Oryzias latipes: one gene and its partners. The protein of the gene in region 5 binds, or shares a complex with, the protein of the main gene of each other region. Links are inferred from orthologs where the notes say so. Each region holds a gene or a part of one and is shown on either strand. Other genes may lie near its edges.

The links.
Region 1: lin9 (region 5) and mybl1 share a complex: the UniProt entries of both Homo sapiens proteins name them as parts of the DREAM complex. The link is inferred for Oryzias latipes from reciprocal best matches to the Homo sapiens genes LIN9 and MYBL1.
Region 2: lin9 (region 5) and lin54 share a complex: the UniProt entries of both Homo sapiens proteins name them as parts of the DREAM complex. The link is inferred for Oryzias latipes from reciprocal best matches to the Homo sapiens genes LIN9 and LIN54.
Region 3: the proteins of lin9 (region 5) and lin52 are in contact, whole or in part, in a crystal structure (PDB 6C48), measured with the Homo sapiens proteins. The link is inferred for Oryzias latipes from reciprocal best matches to the Homo sapiens genes LIN9 and LIN52. Residues at the interface, in NP_001353174.1 of Homo sapiens: Leu335, Gly336, Phe338, Phe342, Leu343, Ile344, Val346, Thr347, Leu349, Ser350, Lys351, Leu353, Met354, Lys356, Lys357, Ile360, Leu363, Arg364, Asn367, Thr368, Ala370, Glu371, Lys374, Ile382, Phe384, Gln385, Tyr388, Ala389, Val392, Leu395; in NP_001019845.2 of Homo sapiens: Asp61, Met64, Leu65, Leu68, Gly69, Leu71, Thr72, Thr73, Leu76, Met77, Val80, Leu83, Gln84, Leu86, Ala87, Leu90, Asp93, Glu94, Glu97, Met98, Arg100, Gly101, Leu104, Asn105, Ile106, Leu107, Glu108, Pro110.
Region 4: the proteins of lin9 (region 5) and mybl2 are in contact, whole or in part, in a crystal structure (PDB 6C48), measured with the Homo sapiens proteins. The link is inferred for Oryzias latipes from reciprocal best matches to the Homo sapiens genes LIN9 and MYBL2. Residues at the interface, in NP_001353174.1 of Homo sapiens: Lys356, Gln385, Arg386, Tyr388, Ala389, Thr390, Val392, Leu393, Leu395, Glu396, Asn399, Leu402, Asn403, Leu406; in NP_002457.1 of Homo sapiens: Trp663, Ala667, Cys668, Gly669, Gln674, Met677, Gln678, Ala681, Arg682, Leu684, Leu685, Arg687.
Region 6: the proteins of lin9 (region 5) and lin37 are in contact, whole or in part, in a crystal structure (PDB 7N40), measured with the Homo sapiens proteins. The link is inferred for Oryzias latipes from reciprocal best matches to the Homo sapiens genes LIN9 and LIN37. Residues at the interface, in NP_001353174.1 of Homo sapiens: Lys99, Ala101, Ser102, Gln103, Lys104, Ile105, Gly106, Arg108, Leu109, Arg110, Leu112, Leu113, Lys114, His119, Trp121, Cys122, Ile123, Glu125, Trp126, Phe127, Thr227, Leu237, Phe238, Leu272, Ser273, Asn274; in NP_061977.1 of Homo sapiens: Tyr95, Ile97, Leu99, Phe100, Asp101, Arg102, Val104, Leu106, Ala107, Phe109, Ser110, Glu111, Asn112, Thr113, Pro114, Leu115, Tyr116, Ile118, Cys119, Arg120, Trp122, Met123, Asn125.
Region 7: lin9 (region 5) and e2f4 share a complex: the UniProt entries of both Homo sapiens proteins name them as parts of the DREAM complex. The link is inferred for Oryzias latipes from reciprocal best matches to the Homo sapiens genes LIN9 and E2F4.

What each region holds. Positions count from the first base shown.
Region 1 is NC_019878.2:17,044,996-17,049,270, reverse strand, and holds the start of mybl1 (myb-related protein A), read right to left. Parts: upstream 2,801-4,275; 5' UTR 2,768-2,800; coding exon 2,696-2,767; intron 2,388-2,695; coding exon 2,311-2,387; intron 1,113-2,310; coding exon 1,013-1,112; intron 848-1,012; coding exon 776-847; intron 678-775; coding exon 585-677; intron 83-584; coding exon 1-82. UniProt on the Homo sapiens protein: Transcription factor that specifically recognizes the sequence 5'-YAAC[GT]G-3'.
Region 2 is NC_019870.2:2,875,781-2,879,280, reverse strand, and holds part of lin54 (protein lin-54 homolog), read left to right. Parts: intron 1-1,318; coding exon 1,319-1,474; intron 1,475-1,550; coding exon 1,551-1,743; intron 1,744-1,814; coding exon 1,815-1,885; intron 1,886-2,171; coding exon 2,172-2,354; intron 2,355-2,448; coding exon 2,449-2,540; intron 2,541-3,500. UniProt on the Homo sapiens protein: Component of the DREAM complex, a multiprotein complex that can both act as a transcription activator or repressor depending on the context. In G0 phase, the complex binds to more than 800 promoters and is required for repression of E2F target genes.
Region 3 is NC_019880.2:13,721,382-13,725,351, forward strand, and holds the start of lin52 (protein lin-52 homolog), read left to right. Parts: upstream 1-1,170; 5' UTR 1,171-1,173; coding exon 1,174-1,207; intron 1,208-1,258; exon of another isoform or gene 1,259-1,318; intron 1,319-1,993; coding exon 1,994-2,047; intron 2,048-2,663; coding exon 2,664-2,738; intron 2,739-2,814; coding exon 2,815-2,852; intron 2,853-2,949; coding exon 2,950-3,016; intron 3,017-3,777; coding exon 3,778-3,861; intron 3,862-3,970. Other genes in the region: pomt2 (protein O-mannosyl-transferase 2), read left to right, coding at 89-194.
Region 4 is NC_019863.2:23,220,275-23,223,340, reverse strand, and holds part of mybl2 (myb-related protein B), read left to right. Parts: coding exon 1-79; intron 80-1,032; coding exon 1,033-1,165; intron 1,166-1,245; coding exon 1,246-1,311; intron 1,312-1,388; coding exon 1,389-1,577; intron 1,578-1,652; coding exon 1,653-1,919; intron 1,920-1,992; coding exon 1,993-2,135; intron 2,136-3,066. UniProt on the Homo sapiens protein: Transcription factor involved in the regulation of cell survival, proliferation, and differentiation. Transactivates the expression of the CLU gene.
Region 5 is NC_019882.2:7,720,829-7,723,919, forward strand, and holds part of lin9 (protein lin-9 homolog), read left to right. Parts: intron 1-77; coding exon 78-208; intron 209-320; coding exon 321-446; intron 447-738; coding exon 739-896; intron 897-2,396; coding exon 2,397-2,530; intron 2,531-2,619; coding exon 2,620-2,748; intron 2,749-3,049; coding exon 3,050-3,091. UniProt on the Homo sapiens protein: Acts as a tumor suppressor. Inhibits DNA synthesis. Its ability to inhibit oncogenic transformation is mediated through its association with RB1. Plays a role in the expression of genes required for the G1/S transition.
Region 6 is NC_019874.2:15,177,520-15,181,718, forward strand, and holds the start of lin37 (protein lin-37 homolog), read right to left. Parts: upstream 2,801-4,199; 5' UTR 2,756-2,800; intron 2,429-2,755; 5' UTR 2,392-2,428; coding exon 2,358-2,391; intron 1,461-2,357; coding exon 1,385-1,460; intron 1,216-1,384; coding exon 1,165-1,215; intron 676-1,164; coding exon 646-675; intron 483-645; coding exon 397-482; intron 292-396; coding exon 131-291; intron 1-130. Other genes in the region: proser3 (proline and serine-rich protein 3), read left to right, coding at 3,322-3,387, 3,472-3,734, 3,828-3,976, 4,077-4,117.
Region 7 is NC_019864.2:28,153,448-28,157,458, reverse strand, and holds the start of e2f4 (transcription factor E2F4), read left to right. Parts: upstream 1-1,211; 5' UTR 1,212-1,291; coding exon 1,292-1,456; intron 1,457-4,011. UniProt on the Homo sapiens protein: Transcription activator that binds DNA cooperatively with DP proteins through the E2 recognition site, 5'-TTTC[CG]CGC-3' found in the promoter region of a number of genes whose products are involved in cell cycle regulation or in DNA replication.

The DNA of each region.
Region 1 (4,275 bases), on a different chromosome or scaffold from region 5:
ACTGTTTTCCAATCCTTCCCTGGAGGTGCTTTGCAATCACTGACCAGCGCTTCGGCCCATATTTGCGCACCAAATCGATAACCTGAACAAATCAAATTAAAAGTAGCTTAGAGCAAATTGACTTGTGATCCTTAATCTTAATGATAATAATAATGCATTGGTTAAAAAGCATAGAGAACAGCAGCAGCAGAACTTGTTGAAACGTTTTTCTCAGAGCAGAAAAATGTTGTGAAGTCATAGTTGGCTGACTGCACTTCTATTTATAAAGTATGATGTCAGAAATATAAAGCATGAAGACGGACAAACTAAGCTACAGTTGAGGAGTGTAATGCTCATACAAACACACATTCAACTCTAAAACTACAGAATGTCTGTTTTGGTGTATTACACACACAAACTAATAGAAAAAGAACGAGGATAAAGTTAGCACATTTGCAAAACCATGTTAGATTGAAGCTAAAAGTTGCATTGCTTTTTGTGTCACCCGTGTTTCCTCCTGTACCCTCCCCAGGGTTTTCTTCTTTCCCCCTATCATTTTTCTCCTCAGTCATCTGTCCAAAAGAGACACTCCCAGCTCTTCTTACCTTTTGATCTTCTTCTTTTGTCCAGGGTCCTTTCACCAGCTCTGGATTGAGCACCTTCTGCCAGCGGTGCTGACACTGACCATCTGTCCGCCCCTGAGTCACAGGAACACAGAGTGCAACACTTCATCCCACCGCAGGACCGGCTACAACCGTTCTTGATGGAACCGTAACCAGGTGGACTCAATACTTACAGGGAAAAAAGTAGCTACTAGTTTCCATGCCTCAGTTCCGTGTTGCTCCACGAGTTTTTTCAGCTTTTCATCCTTTAATTATGAGTTTAAAAAGAAAAAACTGATAATTCCACGCTTTCAGCAAACATTTTCACAGTGTGCTTTCATTTAGCAGGTGCATAAATAAAAAATATGGTTAGAAATGTCTTCCAAAGATGCATAAGTTTCACCTTTTTTTGGTTTCTATAATAAACATACCTCTTCTCGTGACCACTTTATTTTGCCCAGTCTTTTTTTATCATTGCTTTTTTCTTTACTCTCTGGATCTGTGGACACCAGCTCTTCATCCTCATCAGTACTGAAAACACAACAGGAAAAGGGGAAAAGAACCATAATCATGTTATTATTCTCTGTTCTAATACCTATTGTTTCCTCCTAACCCATTCTTAACATGTAGACCTAAATATGAAAAGTAGCTGTGAAAGTTAACAACTTTAGCTAAAAGAAAATTTATCATAAGCAACAACAAAAAAAATGTTTTACTTCCATTTGGAGTTTTGAAATTTATAAACCAAAACCTGGCAGCAGGAAAAGATCATTGGAGGATGGATTAGGGTTAACCTTAACCTTGATAAACATCTTAATGAAATTAGGCCTACCAATTAAAGGTTCATAAATAATTTAAACATATCATGGGAAAAGCAAATGTGCAAGTATTTCCTAAAATTCAATATTGAATAAGTTATTTTCTTAACACATAAGAACCCAGATCTATTTTCCTTGAAAGAAAATGATGCAATATTTAATGTTTTGCTGTTACAGTGAGGTAGTTCTACAAAACAGAACTAACACATGTTCTAAAGAGCTGAAACGTGCCACCCACAAATATACTAAGCAGTTGTTTTCCGTCTTTTTAGTGTCAGAAAGTCCATGAATGTCTGTTCTTTACTGTGCAAACGTGTCATTATAAACCTAAGTCTGGCCAAACTTCTTCACTGGGGCGACTGTGTGTAAAAACAGAAGGGAGGGGTGTAAGGTGACAAGCGGAAAGGGGCAATCTCACATCAACAGACTCTTTCACTAGCAAAGTGCATTAGTGTGTGTGTTTTTAGGTGTGATGATGTGGCCGCAAAAGCCCACATACATATTTTTTTTCATTGAATTCAATTGAATAGCAATAAAAACTCAATGAAAAATTAATTTGCATGATATAGAAATGCATTTAGAACTACAGTATAACCTTTATGTCGCACGTGAAGGTTACCGAAATTAATTAAATTAAAATTAAATTTAAAAAGTGAAAAGAAAATGTAATATTTTGGCATAACACTACATGTGAATTAACTATATTTTTTATCTTAAAATATGCCGCCATAATAGTGTCAGTGTTGTTACAGAAACTTTTTTATTAGACTGTAATCGTTTATTTTTATAAACAAACGCTAAAATGTTAAATAATGTCAGTATATTCATTTATTTTTAATTTCTATTAAGTATAGAAACAGGAGAAAGGTAGTCGACGAGCTTTGTGACGTTTGAGTATTAATCAGTCTTACCTGCGTGATTTCACTTTGTCCATAACAGCCGACAGCAGAACCGAAAGTTCTCGAAGACAACCCTGTGTTTGGCAGTTCTGTGGAATAATCGCGCGTGAACAGGTGTCTCTCCATAAAACTGCTTTTTGGTCATGAACGACGTCTTCTGAGATGCGGCGACTTGGCGTTTCGGCTAACCAGCTAGCTAACTCCACGCAGAAGAACTCATAACATTACCCAGAACAGGCAGCTGTCCATGAAGATATCATCTCTAATGAAACGCAAACCAACGGTCGCTCTTTATCATATGGGCGCCTCTTACAGATCACGTTTGAAACGCTAGAAACCAATAGTATGCCGACGGGTGTAAATAAAATTCTTGAATAAATTGTCACTGCTACCGCACCTTCCGCTCATAATGTGGGGCTTCTGTACGTCTGCATGGCGTTATAGAGTTGGGTTGGTTTTTTTTGTCCATCCCGCCGATTCTGGCGCTCAGCTCTCTGCGCAGGCGGCTTCGTTCCTGATTGGTCAGAATTAGGGCCGTGTAACACGAGGACTGATACTCAAAACTGATTGGTCCAAATGAGGACGACGAATCTACGGCTGAATGGTCTAAAAGTCCGCAAGGTTTTTTTCAGTGGTCAACGTTCTAAAAGGCGGGTGCTTAAGGTGACAGTGACAGAATAAGCATATTCGGTGTGGGAACACAGTTTACACAACTTCTAGTGATGATAAATATGGTCTGCATTGATGTAATAATAATAATAATAATAATAATAATAATAATAATAATAATAATAATAATAATAATAATAATAATGAGTTTCCACAAATATACCTGAAACCAAATTGCTTGAAACAATTTGGCTTACGGTTTATAATTAAAACATAAATATGAATAAAACATGAAAAACTGTTACATCCATTACATCTCTTCAAGCTGACATTCAGTCTAAACACGTCATCTTACTGCCACCTTGTGGACACAACGTCCATCTGCAGTTGTGTGATGGTTTCCATCACACAACTGCATTTTTTCCCACATTAAAAAAGGTTTTCCTATTCACACCCTGATCTTTATCCTAAAAATTTGCAGAAATATCAAAAAACAGAGGGGAAAAAAGTCTAAACTTCTAGGAGTGGTTTGTCTTTGGGTGACACGTGTAGTGTTAAATTAACCCGTTTTTATTACAAACTAATATATGGAGGGAAAAGCTGATATTAGAAAATGGTGATGTTTACTTAAAAGCCTGTAGATGACTGTTTCACTTGTTGATGCAAGAGTGTTGTCATTGTAAAAAAAAATGCACGGAGCCGGAAGTTGATTACCTTACAAAAATAAGAGCACAAGAAACTTTTGAACTTAGAATGAATAAATGTGTCCGTCACTTTGATTCCAAAATCTACTAAACAACTTAGAACTCTACAATTATTATAAACCTATTTTAGTCAAACATATGCTATTAATTTAAATGACAATGTTATCTTTTAGCAGGATATTGATTTTTAGTTTTAGGATCCAGGTATTATTGAGAGGGAAGAGATAATGTGTTCAAGCTGCATGTTGCAAAAAAATTAAAGATTAAATAAATTATTTATTTGATACAGAGATTGTGACAAGGAAAACAAATTTAACAGGTGGCCAAAAATAATCTCAAATACACGAGAAACATATCCAACCACATCTCCAAAAACTACATGTTAAAACCAGTCTGTGTGGGTTAATCCGGTTAGTTATAGATAAATAAATTTTTTTTGTAATGCACTATGGCTACAGTTTGCAAACCTATTTACACATGGTTTGAAAGAATCTGGAGGTAAACAAGATGGCACAGGTATTTAAACTTAAATTTTGTAATGAAGGTCAGATATGGTCCTGGAAAGTCTCAGGCACATTTCAAGTCTTCATCTAAAAAAAATCTCTGTGAACATCTGAGATTCTAATTTTTTGTGAACAAAGAAATGTGTAAAAGCTTTAGTTTT
Region 2 (3,500 bases), on a different chromosome or scaffold from region 5:
GGTAAAAGGACAAAACGGAATCATTTAAGTCCTTTACATCAGCGGCCCCCAACCACCGGTCCGTGGGTCATTTGGTACCGGGCCGCACAGAAAGAATAATTACTTGCATTACTTCCGTTTTATTTATTTTGGAATCTGAAAAATGTTTTCTTTTGAAAGATTGCCCGATTCTCTGTTCCATCCGTCTGTCACTCTTGCTCTCCTTGGTCACCTGACAGGTTACGGCTAAAATAAAACCCAGGAGCTAGCAAAAGGAGTAAAAAACAAACGTCTTTGGAAAGTTTCTTTGCCGAGGGGAAAAGGCCCAGCCAGGAGACAGAAGAGGAGCGTTCCACTCACAAAAAAAGAAAGCTACATTTAATAGACCGTACTTCTTTTTTACACCATGAGTGTGGGAAGGGGAGAGGAGGAGGATGTACAATGTCATGCCTGTCAAAATAAAAGCTCGGGGTTCGTTTCGTCACGCCACTGTTTCTCCTTAATCATCGTCGCGTTGCTCCAATATTCATCCGCCTACATCTTGAAGACCGGGCCGTGAAAACTCTGTGTGACGTCATACCGGTCCGTGGCGATAAAAAGGTGGGGACCGCTGCTTTACATGAGTCTAAATCCAGCTTGAGGAACACAGGATTCCAGTCATCATAACAGGATCACGCTTTTTCCTGTGAGAAGAGTTCTGGTCTTTACCTGAAACTTTCACAGATGCATGCCGATTGAACCACGTCAAAACCACGGGGGAACTACGAATAAACCACGCAAAGAATCAACGCAGAACATGAGCCGTGTGTGATTATTGCGCTGTCCATCATTCATCAGTGATTCATGCATCAATTAGGTAACTTTAACGCGATCTGTGCGCCGTATGCGTGATATAAAACGTATACATCAGTGGCACACGTGTGAAAAGTCAGTCAGACAGATGTGGACACGCGTGCAATGCCACAAATTTGCGCAGGGGTCTCGCACAATTGCGTATAAACGATGTAAAATATGCGTAAACTGCGTCATTCTCAACCGACCGAAAGTTTCAAACAGCTCAAAACGGAATTTGTGTTAAGATTCGTCCGCCGAAACCTTCGCCGACATCTGCGCACATCGACGAATGGTGAACGCAAGGAACACTTATGAATGACGTATATCATACACATCAGACGTCTTTATAAAAGGGGAAATGGGCGATTAGTTTCTGAATGATTTTCCTTTAGTACTGGAAAAACATCTCATTATTGCTTATTTCTCAGCCGCAAGTTTTTGGAAGCTCTTCCTGCTTCAGAGCGTTGGGGTTATTGAAATCTTCTGGTTTTACTCCTGCTGGCAGGTTACCGTGGTTTCCGTGGCCTCTCCCCCCTCCAACTCCTCGCAGAAGTCCGTCGCGCTGCCCGTTAACGTGGCGCTCGGCCAGCAGATCCTCGCCGTCCAGCAGTCCTCCGCTGTTTCTCCGGTCAAAGTGGCCACCAGCCAGCCTGCAGCTCAGGTGAGCGTGGAGCTCGCCTGCAGCCGACGCTCTCCTCAGATCCGCTTTACCTTTTTTTCCTTACCTTTCCACCCAGAACGTCAAACCTGTCCAGTCGGTGACCGTGGGAGGAGTCGGAGGCTCCCAGTTCAAGACCATCATCCCGCTGACCACCCAGCAGAACGTGCAGCAGATTCAGGTTCCAGGAAGCAGGTTTCACTACGTCCGGCTCGTCACGGCGACCACGTCCAGCAGCCCGGGCCAGCCCAGCACCAGCTCCATGCAGACAGGTGAGCAGGCGGGCCGCCGCCGCCGCCGGCCACAAACGGACCGCAAACTCACGGTTCTGGGCGTTCTGCAGGGAAACCCATGGTGGGCAGCACAGGAGTCAGGATGTCGGTCCCTGTCGTTCCAGCTCCAGCCATGAAACAGGTGAGTCCAGCAATGAAGGAAGGAGCACCTCACCTGAGAAACGAACCAATGTGAAAAGGCTGTTCTTTAAAAATGTTTAGTGTTCATACAAAGCAGTTCAAAGGTCAGCAGTCGGATTCAGAAACGTCTTGTCAGGTTGTTCAGTAAATTCCTGTCACTTAATACTGTCAGTTGGAGGGGGGGGCATCAGCTGGTGTTTGAAATTTGTTTGAAGATGAGCTTAAAACCCGAATTGGTGACATAAAACACACCGTTAGCAAATACCTGATGATGCTGCTTCCTCCAGGTGGTGCCGAAACCTCTAACGTCATCGGCACAGGTGGTGGCGACCCCTCAGACGCAGCAGCGCCTCATCATGCCCGCCATCCAGCCCAACCTCACCAACCTGCCGCTGGGCACCGTCCTGGCTCCGGCCCCCGGAGGCGGGAACATGGGCTACGCCGTCCTCCCCGCTCAGTATGTCGCCCAGGTAAGTGCCGCCTGTCTTCAGGTCCGGTCTTCTTGGGCTCTGCGTGTCAAATCGTCTTATTTATTTATTTTTTTTTTTTTTGATGGTCTTTCAGCTCCAGCAGTCTCCGTTCGTGACTCTTGCCAGCAGCTCTGGTTTCCAGGCGTCCAGCGGGATGCAGACTCAGGCCAAACTGCCCCTTAATGGGTAAGGGGGGGGGGGGGGTACGGTGAGCTGCAGACACACAAAAAAGCTGGAGCTCATGATGATTTATGTCGCAGTAAGGCTGAATTCAGACACATTTGGTTCGTCTAAAGTGAACCAGAGTTAGTTTCCCCCCGATAATCCGGATCAAATTTTGAGTTCGAATGCAAACAAGCGGACCCTGGTCCGGGATCAGACACCGCCCTCTGACCCATCTTTCGAGGTGGTCTCGATTCCAACCGGACTCCGGTCTGAACAGGCTCTATACTCGGAGCGGAACATCTGGATTAAAACGGCCACCGTAGCCGGGCATTATGGGAGTAGCGGAGCTACGGCGAGACAGCAACTCATTGAAATGCGGTCGGATGAATTAGTTAAGTTTATTTATTTGAATCAGGACATTGCATATGAATCAATGTTTCAGCAGCTGCTTCAATATAAATATGCTAAAGTTAGCACGGGAGCTAAATCTCATCAGTTGTCCTAAGGCAGGATAAAAGGTTACAGCACAATAGAAAAGCACAATATCGGTGATAAAGATATTTACAAAGGTTAGTTACAATAAAACACAAGTCTATAAAAACCCAAGAAAAACAATATCATCAATGTCTGCAGGACTGGATTGTTTTCAGCCGTTGTTGAAGAGCTTTTTGGAAGGTAGGATAGTTTTCACGGTCTCTGATGTGCTGCGGCAGCGTGTTCAGTAACTGTGTGCCTCTGATTGTCACCACTGTGGCTACATTTAGTACTGCGCTTTTGTACATTACAGTCCCCTCGAGTCATAGCCCTGGTGCCTATTCCAACATTTTCTTTTTTTGACATATAAAATCTAACAAGGGGGGAGGGGCTAGCCCATTCAAAACTTCAAAAATGAGACGGACATCCATGAACATGTTGTAGCGATCAAAATCCATCATGCTATACTTAGAATGTCACAGTAATGATAACGCAGAGGCTTTTTGT
Region 3 (3,970 bases), on a different chromosome or scaffold from region 5:
GCAGACCTCATATTTACATCTAGTTGGTGGGAATGTAAAGGCAATAAAGAATTTGTTGATTTTGAGTAGATCTTTGTCTTCCTTCCAGTTTCTACCTTTTTCATCCTCTGTCCTATGGCATGATGGGTCCTCTTGCCCATGAGCCGGGCAGTGCCATGGCAGGCCTGAAGTGGATAGACTCCTGGGACTTCTAGTTATCCTTGTTTGATTAAGATGTCACAGACACGGAGCATTTTGAGCCGAGGGAATTTCAAAACATCAGTTTGAGTCTAAACATTTCATTTGTCTTTCTGTAAGAAAAAATGTGAATTCAGTCAGTTTGGAAAGCAGATTGTAGAATCTTTTAAGATGCACTGGAGTTGTCACCAAGTTGCCTTTAGTGACAAACTAAATTCCATTTGAAAGAGACAGTAGTTGTTGTTTTTTTTAAAGCCAGAACATTTTACATGTATTTTTAGTTGAGATTGTCCTGAGCTTTAGTATTATACTTTTGATTTTGTGTTTTTATTATGTTGATCAATAAATTGTTTTATTCTTGTATTTCATGTCCTGTTATATTTGCAAAATTTACAAACACAAAACGAGATGTGCCGCAAAGTCAAAAAATTGGAAAACTCAATATATATATATATATATATATATATATATATATATATATATATATATATATATATATATATAATAAATTGTACCGTTTTTTTATGTATACTTAAGTTCAAACTTGTAAAATCTGTGAAACATGGGCCTAGTAAACTAAATGCAAGAAATTGTTGTTATAAAAATATAAACTAAATGCAAAACATTCCAAATCTGGGATGTGAAAGTCTTGTTTAATAATTGAGTTATGGTTTTTCTTTCCAGAAATAAAAACTAGAGGGAATAAAAGGTGATTTAAATGTCCCCTAAGGTAAAACCATAAAATGTACCAGCATTGTAACATTTCATTGAGACTATGGTGGGCTTAAATAAGGGTCTTTTCATTAAGTTATGACAGTAATGTTCGTACTACAATTTCTAAGACGATATAAATCTTTGAATAAAACGAACAGTAATCTTCTGTGCCTCTTGTAAACAGCGCGAGCACCATTGCCGCCCTCTAGCGGCGTAATTTTGAAAAACATCGCCACACCTCAAAACAGAGCGCGGCCGCTGCGATTGGTTGTTGCATGTCACATGATTATTTTGAAGATGGCGTCTCCAAATGGAGGTAAATTTTAATTCTTCTCTCCGATACGCTTTGAATACATCGCAAATGTGACAGTTTCGAGACATTTAAGTCGTTAACAGTTATAACGCAGTGTAATGTGAACACCCAGAGGTAACGTAAAATTTGTCGTAGGACTAAATTCTTGTTTAATCGGTTTGTTTTTCTTCCTTTGTTTTTCCTGATTCTGGGACTGACATTGTCCGCCGTTGATGATGACAGCAGCAGTCCAGATTGTTCTTCTTGTTGCTTCGTTTGGCCGTTTGGCTCGAATTAGCATCAGTGCTACATTTAGCACTTAGTTATTTTTCTCTACTTTAAATTAGTAGTAGCTGTTTTGGTTGCTTGTTAGATTTTGTGTGACTGTTCGACTCCTTTGATTGAAAATGGAATCAGTCTGCTATTAAGTATTATGTCCGTAATGAGTATCTTTTAATGTGTTAAAAATGTTGAAAGCAAATTCTAAAAAGTTTAACAGTCTGCAGAACCAATAATGTTATTAGTTAGTAATTCACACTCTGTCAAGAGTTATTGAAATTTTGGATACAATTCTCTATATTGGTGAAGGACCAGTGTTCAGATTTGATAGCAAAAGTAATTGTTGATAAGAAAGAAAACCCTTTATACATATACAGACAAATAAGAAAGAAAAGTGTCTCTAACAAGTGTGCCAAGAAAAGATCCCCCATACCATCACACCACCACCACCAGCAGCCTCAACTGTTGATACAAGGCAGGATGGATCTATGGTTTTATGTTGTTGATGCTACCATCTGAATGTCCCAGCAGGAATGGAGACTCTTCAGACCAGATGTTTTTCTAATCTTCTATTGTCCAGTTTTGGTGAGCCTGTGTGAATTAAAGCTTCAGTTTCCTGATCTTAGCTGACAGTAATGGCAGCATTAGGTGTGGTCTTCTGCTGCTGTAGCCTATCTGCCTCAAGGGTTGTTCAGAGATGCTCTTCTGCAGACCTTGGTTGAAACCAGTGGTTCTTTGAGTTCCTGTTTCCTTTCTATTAGCTGGAACCGGTCTGGCCATTCTCCTCTGATCTCTCACATCAACGAGGCATTTCTGTTTAAATGGCCAAACATATTTTTACAGCAGTGTAAGAGTTATTAGTAGATGATCAGATCACCACATGACTATGACCTCTTTGAACATTTTAATTGATCAGTGTTTGTACGAATCTTAAATGAATAAAACCATTTATTCTCATTCGAAACTGCCTAATTTTAAGACCAGATAAATATTAGATTTTTTCCTCTCTTTCTGTCTAGATAAAACATGAAACAAAAGTTGTTTTTAGGTTTCAATTTTTGACCTGTTTATAAAAAGTTACTTTTTAATTTTTTTTAAATTAACATTTGGCTGAATTTTATAGTTGACCACTGATTTCCAAAAGCATAGAACTTAAAAAACTAAAGAACATGTCAAAGTGAACCACTGTGTGCTTCTGCAGGGGAGGATTTTGAGATTTCGTTGCTGAGTTTTGAGAAGCTGGACAGAGCATCACCTGACCTGTGGCCAGAGCAGTGTAAGTTTCTATCCTCCCACGCCCAGCTGATAAAAAATTACTTTGTAATTGATTCTTTATGTGAATTCTCACACAGTGCCTGGAGTTGCAGAGTTTGCGGCAACTTGCAAAAATGTGAGTTTAGCTCTGATCTAAAGATGCAGGATTGACTCTGCATAGACTGATTGGAGTTGAGACTTTGTATGTTGTTGTTTTTCTCTTTTTATTGCAGCCTATCACCACCTCTCCTCCAAAGTGGATGGCTGAGTTGGAGAGTGAGGACATTGAAATGTTGAAAGGTTGGTTCAGACAGCTGACATTTATCCTGTATAAACCTTAGGGAAAACATTAAAAACCCACTCTGATAAGAAAAACCGTGTTTTGAACATGTTCTTGTGGCATTTGATATCTTGACATCTGATAATGGAGGACACGTATAAAGAAAATTAAGCTTGAAATTGCATTTCTGAGTTCTTATTTATTCAAATCGTTGTGAATCAGGAGCAGATGAAAAAATGCTGTTTGAAATTTCTTATTTCTTAATCAATATTGCTCGCCATTTTCGTTTCTAAGGTTAGGTTGGGGGTGTGAGTGGCTGTAAGCTAGCAGTAGAGTGTATAAACTGATGATCTACTGCAGCTCTGCTCTAACTGTCCTTAAAAATCACACAGTGTTTTTTTTCTATCTCGGCAAAAAACGGCATAATCATTCATTAAAAGACCTCTGGGAACGCCTTTTAACCCTTGTGCTATCTTAGATGACCCCACCCTTACATTGACGTGTTCTTCCGACCATGACAAAGGTGGATAAAGGTGGAAAGATTTCATGTAATCCATGGACACCAGTGAAGATCATAAATCATTGAAGAAAAAAAGTTCAGCGCACTGTCTAGTGGGTCTACATGACCCAACTCCCAACGTTAAAGTGCCTAGGATAGCACAAGGGTTACAACAGATCAAAAGATCAAATCCGAGTGGGACTTTAAATAATAATTCATGTTTCTTTAGCTAATTAAGTATCTCTAAATGCTTTTATTTAGTGTGATGTTATACCTCTGCAGAGCTGGGAAGTCTGACTACAGCCAATCTGATGGAAAAAGTCAAAGGACTTCAGAATCTGGCTTACCAGCTGGGTTTAGAGGAGTGTAAGTATAACAAAGACACTTCACCACTAGGGGGGGCTAAAAGCATTTCCACGCAATTCTCTGCCGCTGAAGTCTTTGGCTGCTTCCACATTCAAATTCCAAACAGGTT
Region 4 (3,066 bases), on a different chromosome or scaffold from region 5:
AGGAGGACCTGATCATCTACAAGGCTCACTGCCTGCTGGGAAACCGCTGGGCTGAAATCGCCAAGCTCCTCCCTGGAAGGTTCTTAACCCTTTAGCCCTGCAGATGTCCACGCCGACACCTTAATAACACACATTCTTGGGCGTACCGTAACACTTTGACTATTTATGCGCTCAACCTGAATCGGTGGATTACTATACTAACGTAAAGTGTTGCATAACAGCTCCAAGCTGCTTTTCTCCGCTTCAGAAAAATTGTCTGTATTTGAGAACTGGACTGAGTGAGCGTGATGTCACCCACAGAAAATGGCTTACTGGTTCCAGCGAAATGAGGTCAATTCAGTCACCAGTTTTTTACAATACCAAGGCCGCCATGTTGGAATCAGACGTCGCCAATGAGGAGTGATTAGTCTGAGTCAGCCGCTCTCGCCAATCAGGAGCGAGCTCGTTGGAAGTCCCCGCTAGGCCTACACAAATGTATCGCCATCACAATATCAGCCTGTGCGAGACGAGTGTTGCAAAAGACTAAATCGTTACCTTTACATTCGATGAAACAACCTCATGGCAGCTTAAAGTATTTAACGAATCCAATGCGCATTTGGCCAATCAGGTGGAGCCCGTGGGTCATTTGGAGTCTAAATTAAGTTATGTTGACTTTTTTTTTTTGTTTTTAACAAAGAGTTGCAGTGAAATAGTAATTGGTTTTTCTTTGGCTGTTTGTTCATGTAACTCGAGTCGTATTGTGTTGATCACTAATTTCATAAATTGAAAGTTGCAGTGCAGCCCTACTTCACGCCCCTACCACTCTGAAGCTGGCGACACAAAATCTGTCAAACGTTTGACGTGCACATTTTTATTGAGGCACCTGATTGGCCCATTTATAACTTGAATGTTCAGAATCCTCTTTAAAGTCTCGAATTGCGTAAGCGGTGGAAGAGTTACGGTAGTCGAAAGAATGACAAAACATTGACTAAACCCCTGCAGATTTCTGGGTTTGGAAACTTCCAAGTATCCATGTGGTATTTGTGGTAACAGGACGGACAACGCGGTGAAGAACCACTGGAACTCCACCATCAAGCGCAAGTTGGAGATGGGCTTCTACGCCGGCGAGGTGTGGGGAGCCAACGAGCTGGAAGACATGATGGCTCGTATCGGTAAAGACGTGCCGGTGGGTGAAGATCTCCTCAAACGCTTGTTTCCGGTAACTCATTTCCAATCAACTGAAGGTTTTGTTTCATGTTCACGCAGACGACGGCTAGCTTCTCCCAGGAAGCTCTGGAGACGGAGGAGGAGCAGAAACCCCAAGGCGCCTCGGTGAGCGGCCGATTGAATCCGTTCGTGACTCTTCACGGTTTACGTTCAGTTCACCTTGATGCGTGATGTTTCCGCAGCAGACGCAGGAAACCGCTGCAGAGAACACGGGTGAAACCAAGCTACTAAACGCCGCCCCCTCACCGAAAGACAGCCTGAGCCCTAAAACGGACGGAGAAATGAGCTGTGGCAGCTGGGTGGTGGATGGTTCTGGTTTCCTCTCCCCCACAGGCCCGGCTCTGAAGGAGGTTTTGGACCTGGTGGACGGGGTAAGATCAACTGTTTGTAAATACTTGAGATTGCCACCTTTGAGAGGACAAAAGCAAGGAAACTTCTGTTTGAAGGATCTGGACGGGTGGTGCAACTTGGCGGAGTTCCACCTTCCAGAGGACAGTCCCAGTCCAGAGCGCCACCAGTTCCGCCTGGAGGGCAGCGCTCTGCAGGAGCTGAGCAAAGGCAGCAAAGGAGAGCTCATCCCCATCTCTCCAGGCGGGATCACGCCGCCCTCCATCCTCACCTGCCGCCACCGGAGGCGGGTGGCCTTGTCTCCCGACACCACCATGACGCCCAAAAACACCCCCGTCAAGCACCTGCCGTTCTCTCCCTCTCAGGTGGGCCTCAACACAAAAAAACTCAGAAAAGTCTATTTTCGGTGCCTCCGTTTAACGCAGTTCGTCTTTCCAGTTCCTGAACATGTGGACCAAGCAGGACACTCATGACCTGGAGAACCCCTCCCTCACGTCCACACCCGTGTGCAGCCAGAAAGCCATCGTCACCACGCCACTGCAGCGCGACAAGACGCCGCTCACTCAGAAAGAAAACTCTCTGTGAGTCGGCCTGGTTGCAGCGTTTTCTGTAGATGTGATTTCATTGAACCTCCTGGTTTGTTGGAGTCGGGGTGCGCGGCGGCAGCAGACCTTATGCCTGAAGCTGCGTTCACAACGCCCCCAGCAACGCGCGTTCAAGCAACCACGTCCAATGAAAAGGCTATGTAAACGGGCGCTTGGTGCCTTCGCTTTCACGCATCGCTACACACGTTTTTAAAACCGTTTTCGGGCTCTGCGTTCAGTGGACACCTGTTGAAAGTTAAACCGGGTTGAATTTGACCAATCAGGGACTAGGATTTGGTAGTTATGAATGGATGGCGTCCCTTTTGATTCACTGAAGTGCCAATCATGAAGGAAAAATTAATAATTGCCTTTTGTTTCTGGACGGAATTCTATCACACCAAGTCTTTCAGAAATTGGAGTAGAGCTGGGGAAAAAATAGCCTGGAACAAGATTTTTGACATTTTTCGACATTTTACACCGAGTCTCTTCCAACAACAGGCGGCGGCCATGGTCTGTCACAGGTAGTGACACTCCGCCATATGAACACGCATCACATGCGTGGTGGTGTCACATGCACCCATACAGGTTCTCCTGTATGTCCAGGCTTGCGGAGGGTCGTAGACAGGCAACCCGATTCTTTAAGGGAGCATTGATTTGGGTTACTGGAGTTTTTTCAAATGTAATAGAATAAATGAGACGGGATTGATGAAAATAAAATAAAAACTGGAAAGAATAAAGCGCAAAATCCCAATAAAGCATATTGTGTTTTTGGTGTAACTCCTATTGCAACATTCACACCAGACATGTGACGTTTCTTCAAGAACACGCATTCTTGAACATACTTTTAGCAAATGGTGTTCACACTGGAATGTTGCTACCGGATACTTGTGCATGTAGTCATTGTCGGTGTGAAAGGTCGAAGCGGAGC
Region 5 (3,091 bases):
CATCAAATTTAAGTGCTTTTTTTTTTTTTTTTAGCAAATGTTTAAAATAATATTTTTTAATTTCTATTTTGTTTCAGAAATTTTCAAATGTTGTCACACCAGACAAAAAGGCATCCCAGAAAATAGGGCTGAGACTAAGAAACCTCCTTAAACTTCCCAAAGCTCACAAGTGGTGCATTTATGAGTGGTTCTATTCCAACATAGACCGGTAAATCTCACTTTCCCCCCACCAGACTACTGGTTGAAACTTTTTGACTAATTCTTCCTTTTTTTTGACCAACTCTTTTCGTATTATTTCCTTTCCTCTTTTCCACCTTTAGACCTCTTTTTGAGGGTGACAATGAGTTTTGTCTGTGCCTCAAAGAGTCGTTCCCCAATTTGAAAACAAGAAAACTGACGCGAGTTGAGTGGGGAACAATCCGACGACTGATGGGGAAACCTCGAAGGTAAAACACAATTGAATTTTATTTATTTCAAATTCCAAATCATGTTTTATTGTGAAAAGTTGAGGACAAAAAGTGATTAGGACATATTTAAAACTACGTAAAATGAAAACAACAGCAGAGCCAGAAACTGTGGATGTTATTTGAAAACATTTCTTTTGCTACATCAAAAAAAATATTTCATAGAGGATTTTTCTTTAGTCTTGAGTTTATCACATTCTATTTTATTTTTTGGTAAATTCCTCATAAACATGATGTGTAAAGAAAAACAGATGTTCCCTCATGTCTGTTTCAGGTGTTCTTCAGCATTTTTTGCTGAGGAGAGAACAGCGCTGAGACAGAAGCGGCAGAAAATGCGTCTTCTGCAGCAGAGAAAACTGTCCGATTTGTCAAACTGCAAAGATCTTCCTGAAGAAATCCCTTTGCCTCTTATCATAGGAACCAAAGTCACCGGTGAGATCACTATAATGAGTATAAACCCTCAGTAAATGCTGGGAGCGACGGGCAATAAATGACTTTATGTGAACTTCCAGCAGGTCTCGACAAATGCAAGAGTTAAAACATGTCAAGCTTAAAAGTAATGACTAAACTACAAAGAAACAAGTACTCAGGTTGGGATCAAGATTGAAAGTTAGAAACGAAGAAAAGGTTGTTCCAGACAAACACAAGAATGTCTGAACATGTTTATTTACTTTTAATTTGATTTGATTTATTTTTATTTCAAACATTAATTGCAGTCAATACAATAAAAAAAGTCACAAAGATTCATCAAACTCATTACAGAAATGATGAAATGCATAGATTAAAAACAAACACAAAGACACACTTAAGTCATATTTGCTTAGTTAACTATTGTGATCATTAACTAAAGTATAAGTAGAGCTTGATTTATTGCTTATAAAGGAGTGGGAAGAAGCAAGTATATATAATCCCACCCCTTCGGAGTTATTTCATTTTTCGTTTTACATAGTTTTTCGTAATCCGGTTATGATCCGATAGATTCTTTTCAAGTAATATAATCAAGTGCTTATTGATGATTATCTGCAGAAAACATTCATTTATGATTTTAGTAAACAGTAATGTGAATCACGCACCATGTAACCAATGTAATACTCATTGATTATAACCAGAACACAATTTTAATAAATCCAGATATCATTGCTACACATTGCAGATCAAGTTATTTACAAAATCGAGTGCTTATTGATTATCCTCAGAAAGAACTACATCTTTTCAGTAAACAGTAATGATTTACACTTTAGGTAATCAATATGTAATCATTGATTATCATTAGAACACATGATCACAATAAACCAGTAATTATTGCTACACGTTGCAGATCAAGTAAAGAAAATCTATAACTTATTGACTGTAATTTAAAACATTTTAGTAATCATTATTGCACATTACTATTTAATACCCATTGGTTGTAATTAAAAGAGCTTTGATTATTTCACCACAATCAAGTTCACAAATGTATTTGTAATTATTCAAACACCTGTTGATCCTTAACTCCTCTTATCTTTATATCCTGAAATCAGAGTTTCTTTATAGATTTTCTGGAATATTTGGATATTTGAACATTGTTTGAGCTCATTCCAAAGTTTAGTGCAAGTCTAGATTGATCAAATAAATTGTTTGTATGATAGATACATAGCCGGCTTTATGTACAATACTGATGGCTCGTTTTTGAAGTAAAAAGAGAGGATGTAGTGAACTCTTATAATTATTACACCACATTTCTATACAGTAGGTGAAATATGTTAGTATTAAGAAGCATTATAACAAATATCTACTGTTGTATTCTAATTTATATTTAGATTTATTTATGATTTAATTTCTTTTTGAAACTTTAGTTTGTATGTAGGATGTTGTATGTTGAATGTGAGCTGGGATTAGACCGTCATACTGATGATGTGTTGTTGGAACGCTAATCCTGCTCACTTTTTCCAGCTCGACTCCGAGGCAACCACGATGGCTTGTTCACGGGGCAGATTGATGCAGTCGACACAAGCGCGGCCACCTATCGTGTCACCTTCGACCGCACTGGCCTGGGAACTCACACCGTGCCTGATTACGAAGTTTTGGTAAATGTGTAAATAAATGGTTTCACCAAAACAACCGGCAGCAGGAACTCTGAAGCTCGTTTTCCTAATCTAACGATTTGTTTTTCCAGAGCAACGAACCCAATGAAACCATGCCCATCTCGGCTTTCGCTCAGAAACACCGGTCAGCGCGGTACATGCAGAACGTCATGACTCCGCCCAGAGCGACGTATCCGTCCGTCACGACACCTGTCCACATGGTAACCGTAACATCAGTCTAATCCAACAATAATGGGCTGCCATTTCATATTTACATGCGAACTGTAAACATTTCTGTCTGCTGCCTGAAATGTGCCTTCAGAATCGTTTTGTTCAATTTATGAAGCCTATAGATAAAATTAAACTCAGTGATGGTGAAATCTTTTTACAGTTCTCTTTTATAACTTGGTACCTGAATGTTTTCTTTAACATGTTACATGCAAATCTTAATTTTGTTGGTTTTTCATGTCAATCGCTTGTGAAATCTGCCTCATTTCTCTACATGTATGTATTTTCTCCCAGGACAATGATCCTCTTATGAGCCAATCGCCTTGGAGGAACAAA
Region 6 (4,199 bases), on a different chromosome or scaffold from region 5:
TGCTGCTTTACGAACAAAGATAAAGAATGCTCTTTATGATATTGTGATGTTGAATTACAAAGAGATTGGTAAATTTTCCCTGTAAATACAGATTCATATTGCCCTTGTTGGACATGTTGGACAGCCCCACCTCTTCCTCTGTCATGCCGGGCGGGGAGCCGGGGGAGGCTACAGACTCTCGAACAGAAGGATTGTTTTTCATCCAGGCACGGCAGATCGGATACAACGGGGTGCTGGTGTTAAACTGAGCCAAATCGACGCTGCGATCAAACAGCTTAATGATGTAGGCATCTAGGAGCAAAGCAGATCAAATAGAAACGCTTCTTAACAATTGAAAAACTGCTGTAAATGAAAAGCTTGCACACAATAAAAAGCAAAAGTCAGAGTCAAATTTACTTTGTTTATGCTGATTAGTCTCTGGTATTCCCTCTTCCATCTCTTTCCTTTTCTTTCTACGGTGTTGTGGAAATCGAGTTGATTGTCTGAAAAAAATAAAAATAAAATACCACATCAAAACAATAAATACAATTCATGTTAACTGTTTCAAATAGTCGCTTTTCTGTAAAAAAAATGTTTAGGAACAGTACAGGACATAAAAAAGTATAAAAGACATTATTAACCCACGTTCTGAATACAGAGACTTACCTTTTTCCAGCAGATGATGGAGACAAATCCCTAAAAAGGGCAGAAAGGATGTTATCTCAAAACAAGAAATTCATTTGATCATTATTTAAAATACTCAAAAAGCATCAAAGTAACAGCTGAATTCACTGCAGCTTTATACAGTATATTGTAATGTACTGTACTGTACAAAGCTGCAGTATACTGTATAATATACTGTATACTACAGCTTTATGCAGTATATTAGAATATATATCTCTATTTTAAACTGTGTGCAATATTCATGCTGTATGTGCAATATCCATTCTAATGTGGAATACCCACTCGTGCAATATTCACCCCACTCTACTGTACAGTATTTAAGTATTTATGCCTTATATAGCTCCTTATTCTTATTTTATTTTATTCTACCTTTTTATATCGAGAGTTGCTGGAAAAAATTTCATTGTGCTCTGCAGAATGATAATAAAAGATTCTGATTCTGATATCAATTCCTCCTCACTTATAATTAAACAGAACAAAAGAAAAATTTACTGAGCTTACTTGTTTAAAGAATCCACAGATATTTTCCCAGGATCATTTTCGTTTGGATCCCTGTTTAAAGCATAACGACAATTTTAGACAGTGATGAGCGATCATTATGATGATAATAATAATAATAAACTTTATTTGTATAGCCCCTTTCAAGATAAAAATCACAAAGTGCTTCACAGTAAAACAGAATATAAAAAGAATTATGAAAAAGCATCACAATCTCACTAACTTCTCATGTTCACTCTTCTCTACAAGTCCTTTCAGCACAGCATCCAGTCTGCTGCGTGCACCGCTTTCCTCCAGCTCTGTAATAGAAACAGTTACAAAAATTATAACAGAAAACATGGATAACCATAAAATTATTACCATTAAAAGATATGTGCAATTAATTTAGCTATGAAGTTCCCAAAATCTTAAATATTTTGGATGGTAAATAAAAAAGAAATCGGACTTTTTTGAAGATACAAAGTACTATATGGAATCTAGTGGTTCCTTAACAATATTTACACACAATTTATTAAGCTATACCGTACCATAATTTTACATTTACAAGGAACGATTGGATCAAAACTGGATTATGACAACGATGCAAAAATTTGTAATGAAATAACTCACTAGGGGTGGGATCATACAAATGTCTTCCTACTCCTTTTCAATTAAAAATTAAAACTTGACTTTAGTTGGTAATCATATGGAATGAATCTGATGTGACCTAAATGTGTATTCTCTGCATCATTGCAGAAAAATCGATTCTGGATTATGAGTAATTACTATAACTTTCTTCTTACATTTTTTTTAATCAGTGCATTTCATTATTTCTGTTTGATAAAACTGTGTGATTTCCTTTTCTGTATTGTCTACAATCAATGCTTGAACTAAACCAATGGATCAACCAATTCCTAAATAGACGTTTTTAAGGGGTTAGGAGAAATTATTACACAAATCACAATTAAATAATTAACTGCGCTTAATTTTTTTTAAACGTTTCATTTATTATAAACCAAATGTTATATTATTTTTATACATATAATAATAATGTGCTTAACTAGTTTGTTATTACCCCTACACATTACAATGTAAATTATTTGACTTCTTTTTTTTTTACTGCCAGAGCCTTTCGGTGTCTCTGTGAAGCTCTTTTAACTAAAGGTGTCTAATTAAATAAAACAACAGTTCGTGAAAATAGCCCTGCTCTCTCTTACCTGGCCTTTCCGACTTGATCTTGACGTGGTGCATGGTGTCAAACAATATTTCCCAGGGGGTAAAAACAGATCTGCGTAGTAGATCAGTAACTACAGGTAGTCACAGTTTAATTTGTTTTAAAACAATTAAATATGCACCGAAACTAGCTGCGCTCCTGCTTTCAGTTAAGTTAGCTAACCTTTGCGTTAGCCTCACCCCAAACTCTTAAAATTACGCCACAATTTTTTTATCTACATGTATTTAATTATTAAATTGACACGAAGAGAAACATTTTACCCTACCAACTACATCTATGTAACAACAATATTACACTGTTCACGCTCTGTTCGATGTGGTCAAGTAGTGTTGTGGGTAAGCTAGTGGCCAAACAACCGTTGCTAACTGCGTTTTTTTTTACCCAGAAGTATCCCTGTCAAGGTTTTCTCTTCCGCGCGCTGTAGACTCTATGATCTGATTGGATGCTTTGTGAGCAGAATCTTACTATTATTGGACAACTGTTCTGTCCATTATTCAAAACTCAGCCCCTGATTGGTCAATTTCCACAAGCTGTGTTCTTTGCCGTAAACAACTCAAACGCTACAGCTTTTCTGGTTTCATCCATCTTGTTAGGTGTACTTTAATCAAAAAGCCAACTAGGTAGGTTTTTCTTTTCTTCACAAAATCTTAACTTTTGGTCTTGTAAATCTGTGTCATTGTTGTTGTACGTGTTTGTTATGGGTCAATGTGTTGCTTGATGTTGTGGTGTGGATGTGCAAATCCACAGGTCAGGATTTTTTTATCATCCACCAAATGAGCAGAAAAGTACAGTTTAAATTAGACTAGAGAGGAGGGGTCAGAAAATTAGAAGTAAAAATAATAAACATACAACTTATTTTATGCGTTTTACTATTGCTTAATCATTTTTATTAAAAAAATTGTGTTGATGCTGTTCTCACAGGGCAGAAATTTCATCTGCCACCATCCATGGAAAGAAGGGCACACAAGCAATCATCCAGCAAGCAACTTCTGTCAAAGACAAAGAACAAAAGTGTTAGTATTAAAGATAACTTCATTAACATCTTTGTTGTCAAGTCGATTCTAACTATTACTTCATACTTCTTGTACTTCTTACAGACGCGCAGTCCTGGTTGCACAAGCAGGAGATCCGGTGTAAAATTACAATCATGTGCTCAGAAAAATCAGAAACTGTTTAAGAAACATGATCGCCATGTTTCTTCTACTGGTGGACAATCTGTGGCTGCTGAGTCTTGGCAGTCCCCTGAACACGCATCTCGTCTTGGTAGCATCACTCCTGATATGGAGGAAAGAGATCAGCCTCTGAGGTCTGAGGCTTCCAAAGATTCCTCAGGAGTTCAGGAAGATTCTGTGCTGGCTAAGTGCGTGCCGTGCTGTCTGGTTTCATCACAATCTCATTTCATATTTAGTCTTTTAACGTTGCTCGACAAATCATTAACCTTTGCTTTTTGAAGATACATAGAACGTTTTCGACATGGTCTACCTCAGAGTCGGAAACAGCGCCAGCCAGTGACTCCTGTCTCTGGAGAAGAGCAGGAACCTTTGTGGTGGATGTTCCACTCATCATCTCCCTGTGGAAAACAAACTAAAACATTACATAAAGGTACATTTTATCTCTTACCTTTGTACCCGATAATCAAACAGTTATTTTCATAATAGTGTATGTTTATTATCATCTGCATGATCTTACTATCCCTGGACAGACGACCACGATTCTGCTGTCACACATGATGGATCCGTCACTGTGAGTTCACTGGAATCAGTCACAGCGTAAAGGGTTATGCTACCTTTGCCACTAAACAACAAAGTGTTGCTTAGTTTTTATG
Region 7 (4,011 bases), on a different chromosome or scaffold from region 5:
ACAATTAATAGCCAATATTGGTTCATTTTGAACGATCCAGTTCAATCACTGACCTAAAATCCAGCCAGGACATTTTTAGCCAAAACTTTTAAACCAGTGTGACTCTGGTACTCTGATACTTCTGGCAAGTGTAGAGTTGATGTGTACACATAAACAAGTAAACAAAAATTAAAAGAAAATCCATTCAAATTTTGGTTTCATAAAGTTGTAACACATGACCACATGTCTTTACACAATTCAAAGTGTTTCCACACATTGGACTGTAACATTCTTTTTTATTTTTTGGCTGCCACCACATATGTGTTGTCTGCTGTGATGCACTTGGTCGCTTTTATGTTACGGTAAAATAAACCTACCATGTCTCCAAATGCTATTTTCCAATCTTGACATTTTCGATTTATTTAATTTTGAAAAGATTTTATAATAGTTTGAATAGATAATAGATTAACAACTGCCCTAGAAAATATGTAGAAATATAAAATTGTTTCACTGATTAAGTCGATTAATCGTTACACCCCTATAATAACTTTTAAACTTAAATTATGTGGTAACATTTTTGTGGTTAAAAAAAATAAAGTCGTTAGGATGCAATACTGAACTCAAATAGTTAAATTCAAAATATTTAATTTACAAACCAATGTTTACACAGTACACTAATTCGCACTGCTTTGCAACCTTGAAAATGTTTCAGTCAATGACAATGTGGTTTGGAAGAAAAGCTTTAGAGGGGAAAATAATTTTCAAATATTCATTTGAAGAACGGTGCCTGCGTGTGCGCGCGTGGAAGTGCGTTTTCTTCAAGTTTAAGTTGCTAAGAGTTCGAGTTAAACTTTCTCCTCTACCAAAAATTCTTGCAACCAATACTTCCCCTAAAATCGCAATAGAAAAACTACTAACCGTCTTTTTTCATACTTTTTTCAATGTTACATTAAAAATAAATCACTAGAAATACATGTTCGTGCTAGCAAATGTATTTTTTACGTGGTTTTATTTTTTCATGAACATTTGCACACGGTCCCTAAAACGAAAGCACCGTCCCGTCATACCTCGCGTGGCCAACGGCTCTCCACCGACTGCTCCTTCATTGAATTTCCATACTCGCTGCTTCAGCTCGATTTTGCTCAGTTATTTTCAGAAAAGCAGCTAGTATTGACTCGTAAATTTGCACCACACCATCCACGCGTGTGTGTTTCGAACTGCGGCGGTGGAGCTTTCTTTCTTGGGCTCGCTGGCTGGATTTAGTCGGAAAGCAGGCAAGAGAAGAGGGGAAGTACGGAGCTGATCCGGAGCAATGATGGAGCTGGAGACGGCCAGTAACAGAGGCGACCCGGGAACCGTGGGAGACTCGCTGCAACCGCAGACGCCGAGCAGGCACGAGAAGAGCCTGGGCTTGCTCACGACGAAGTTCGTCACTTTATTACAAGAGGCGAAGGACGGAGTCCTGGATCTGAAAGCTGTGAGCTCTTTGTTGTTAGCTAGCACATGTCACTTTGAGCCAGCCCGCAGTCGTTAAGTTACATGGTATCTAGCTAGCATGCTAGCCTAGCTTAGCTGTGTGACAGGCTAATTTGAATGAAAGATAGCTTTGCCTTCTAAGTTTGTTGTTTTAGTTCACCACTTTTACAATTAAAATCACATTTAATATTTTATGGTGCAGATTTTTGCCTTTCTGAGTGAAGAAACGAAGTGAATTTCAAGAACACCGGTCAACTTTTTTCGACTCTCTGCCCCCCTGCAGATTCAAAGTTTAGAAAGTGGGTCAGCTTTTGTCATTCTACTCTCAGTTAAAGCCACTGCACCTTCACACTTGAGCAAGTTTGTTTTATGATTGATTGCGTCTTTGTCCACGAACGACATGCGTTTATAATGTTGCTTTTCAGAAATGACTCAAAGCGTGAAGTAGTACTCGCACAGATGTTGATTAAATTAGGCTAGCTTTGTTTTTCACAGTACAGGGGCCACATTTCCACATTTCCATCACTAGCTTTAATGCAGGAATGTTTACTATTGGGATTCTGCTAAAGTCCCACATTGTTTGATGTAAAAGCTCAAATAGTTTTCTACAAATACAAAAAAATATATAACGTTTGCACTTTTCATATTTTTACATTAGGGGTGTTACGATTTATTTGAACAATTTGATCCACTTTATAATTTGTGCTTCACGACATGATTTATAGTCCGGGACATCTTTAGCCAAAACATCAATCAGTGGGACTCAGAGATAAATAAATGGGTACTGAACAGTGTCACTTGTATTTCTTGTAAATGTAAATAAAATGGCTTAACAAACAAACAAGTAATTCCCATTTTAGTGTCAAAGTTCAGCCCACTTTTGCCATAGATAGGGTTGTTACGAATAATCAGTAAATCGATTTATATTGCTGCGATCCAACCAGATTGACCTGAAGCAAGTTGTTAATTGAGTCAACGTGTTTTATTATTATAAAATCCTTTCAAAATGAAATAAATCAATTATATGGATATAGGAAAACACCATTTGGATTGAGGTTCTGAAGGTTTATTTGACCATAACTGTAAAAATAACCGAGTGCATCACAGTAGACAACACGCATGTGACGGCAGCAAAGCATGACCAACCATCATTACGGCTCGATGTGTGGAAACATAATTTTTGACCATACAGTGTGGTCATATGTCGCAACTTGATGAAACCAAAAATGTGAATGGATTTGACTAGGGCTGCACGATATAATGAGGAAAACTCGCGGTATGCGATATTAGTGATAAACATTGCGATGAGGATATAACTTGCGATACATGAACAAATAGCAAAACGATCAAAACCATAATTTCCATTTCACTGCAACAGTTTTAATTTAAATAAGAGTTGCCCCTCGTCTACATAGGAGGCCAACATAAAAGAGCTCCATCCCATTGGTCAACCACGTGAAAGGCTCCATCTGATTGGTCAAATGTTTAAATGAATTTATTTGATTCATTAAATACTTCAAGCTGCTATGAGATTGTTTTAGCACTCTTAAGGTTACGATTTATTGCAATTTTTGCAGACTTTTGCATGATATATCATATCATGATAACGATAAATTAGTGATTTATTGTGTCTAGATTTGCCATTCATTCTTGTTTGTGTGTTTGTACACTTATTTAATTTACGCTTGGTTATTTTGCAAGGAATCTGGAAAACCTCCGCTGTGCTGTTCAGTACCAGGTATTTCTCTCTGAGTCCCACTGATTGATGTTTTGGCTAAAAATGTCCTGGATCTATTTTAGGTCAGTGAATCGGATCGTTCAAAATGAACAAATATCTACTATAAATCGTATTGTCAACCACAAATTATTATATTAACCGAATTGTTCAAAAGGATCAATACACCCTAAAAAATGTAACATTCTTAGAACATTCTAGCCCACTGGATGGGACCATGTCTTTGCTAAATTCAAAGTTTTTCCACAAACTGGACTGGAATGACGGTTGATCAGTTTTTGCTGATATCACTTGTGTGTTGTCTGCTGTGATGGTCGATTTTACATTATAGTAAATAAACCTAACGTGCCTCAATCCAAATGGTATTTTCCAATATAACTAATTTATTACATTTTGAAAGGATTTTTTTTTAATGGTATAGGTCGCTTGGATCAGCAACTTGCCTCAGACAGATTTATTTGGTTGGATCGTAGTAATATAAATCAATTTATCAAATAAGTGGATTGATTGTTTCCCCCCTAATGTACATATTTTTCTATAACAGTCATAGAAGAGAGACACTTGAGTCTAAAATCATTTAAATTACAACACACTGATTCTGTTTTGTTATTTTCTTAACTGTCATTTTGACCATTCAGGCATTACATTATGTATGAAGAGTTCTGCTTCTTCTCTTTTTGAGTCTGTCTTCCTGATCATTTCCTTCTTGTGTGACTGGGTTGATATAGTGTCTGCTGATACTCTAAGCTGCGCTGCACCTCGCAGATAAAACACTCCACGCACGTGCACACATTTTTTTTCTTTTTCTTTCCAACTGACTT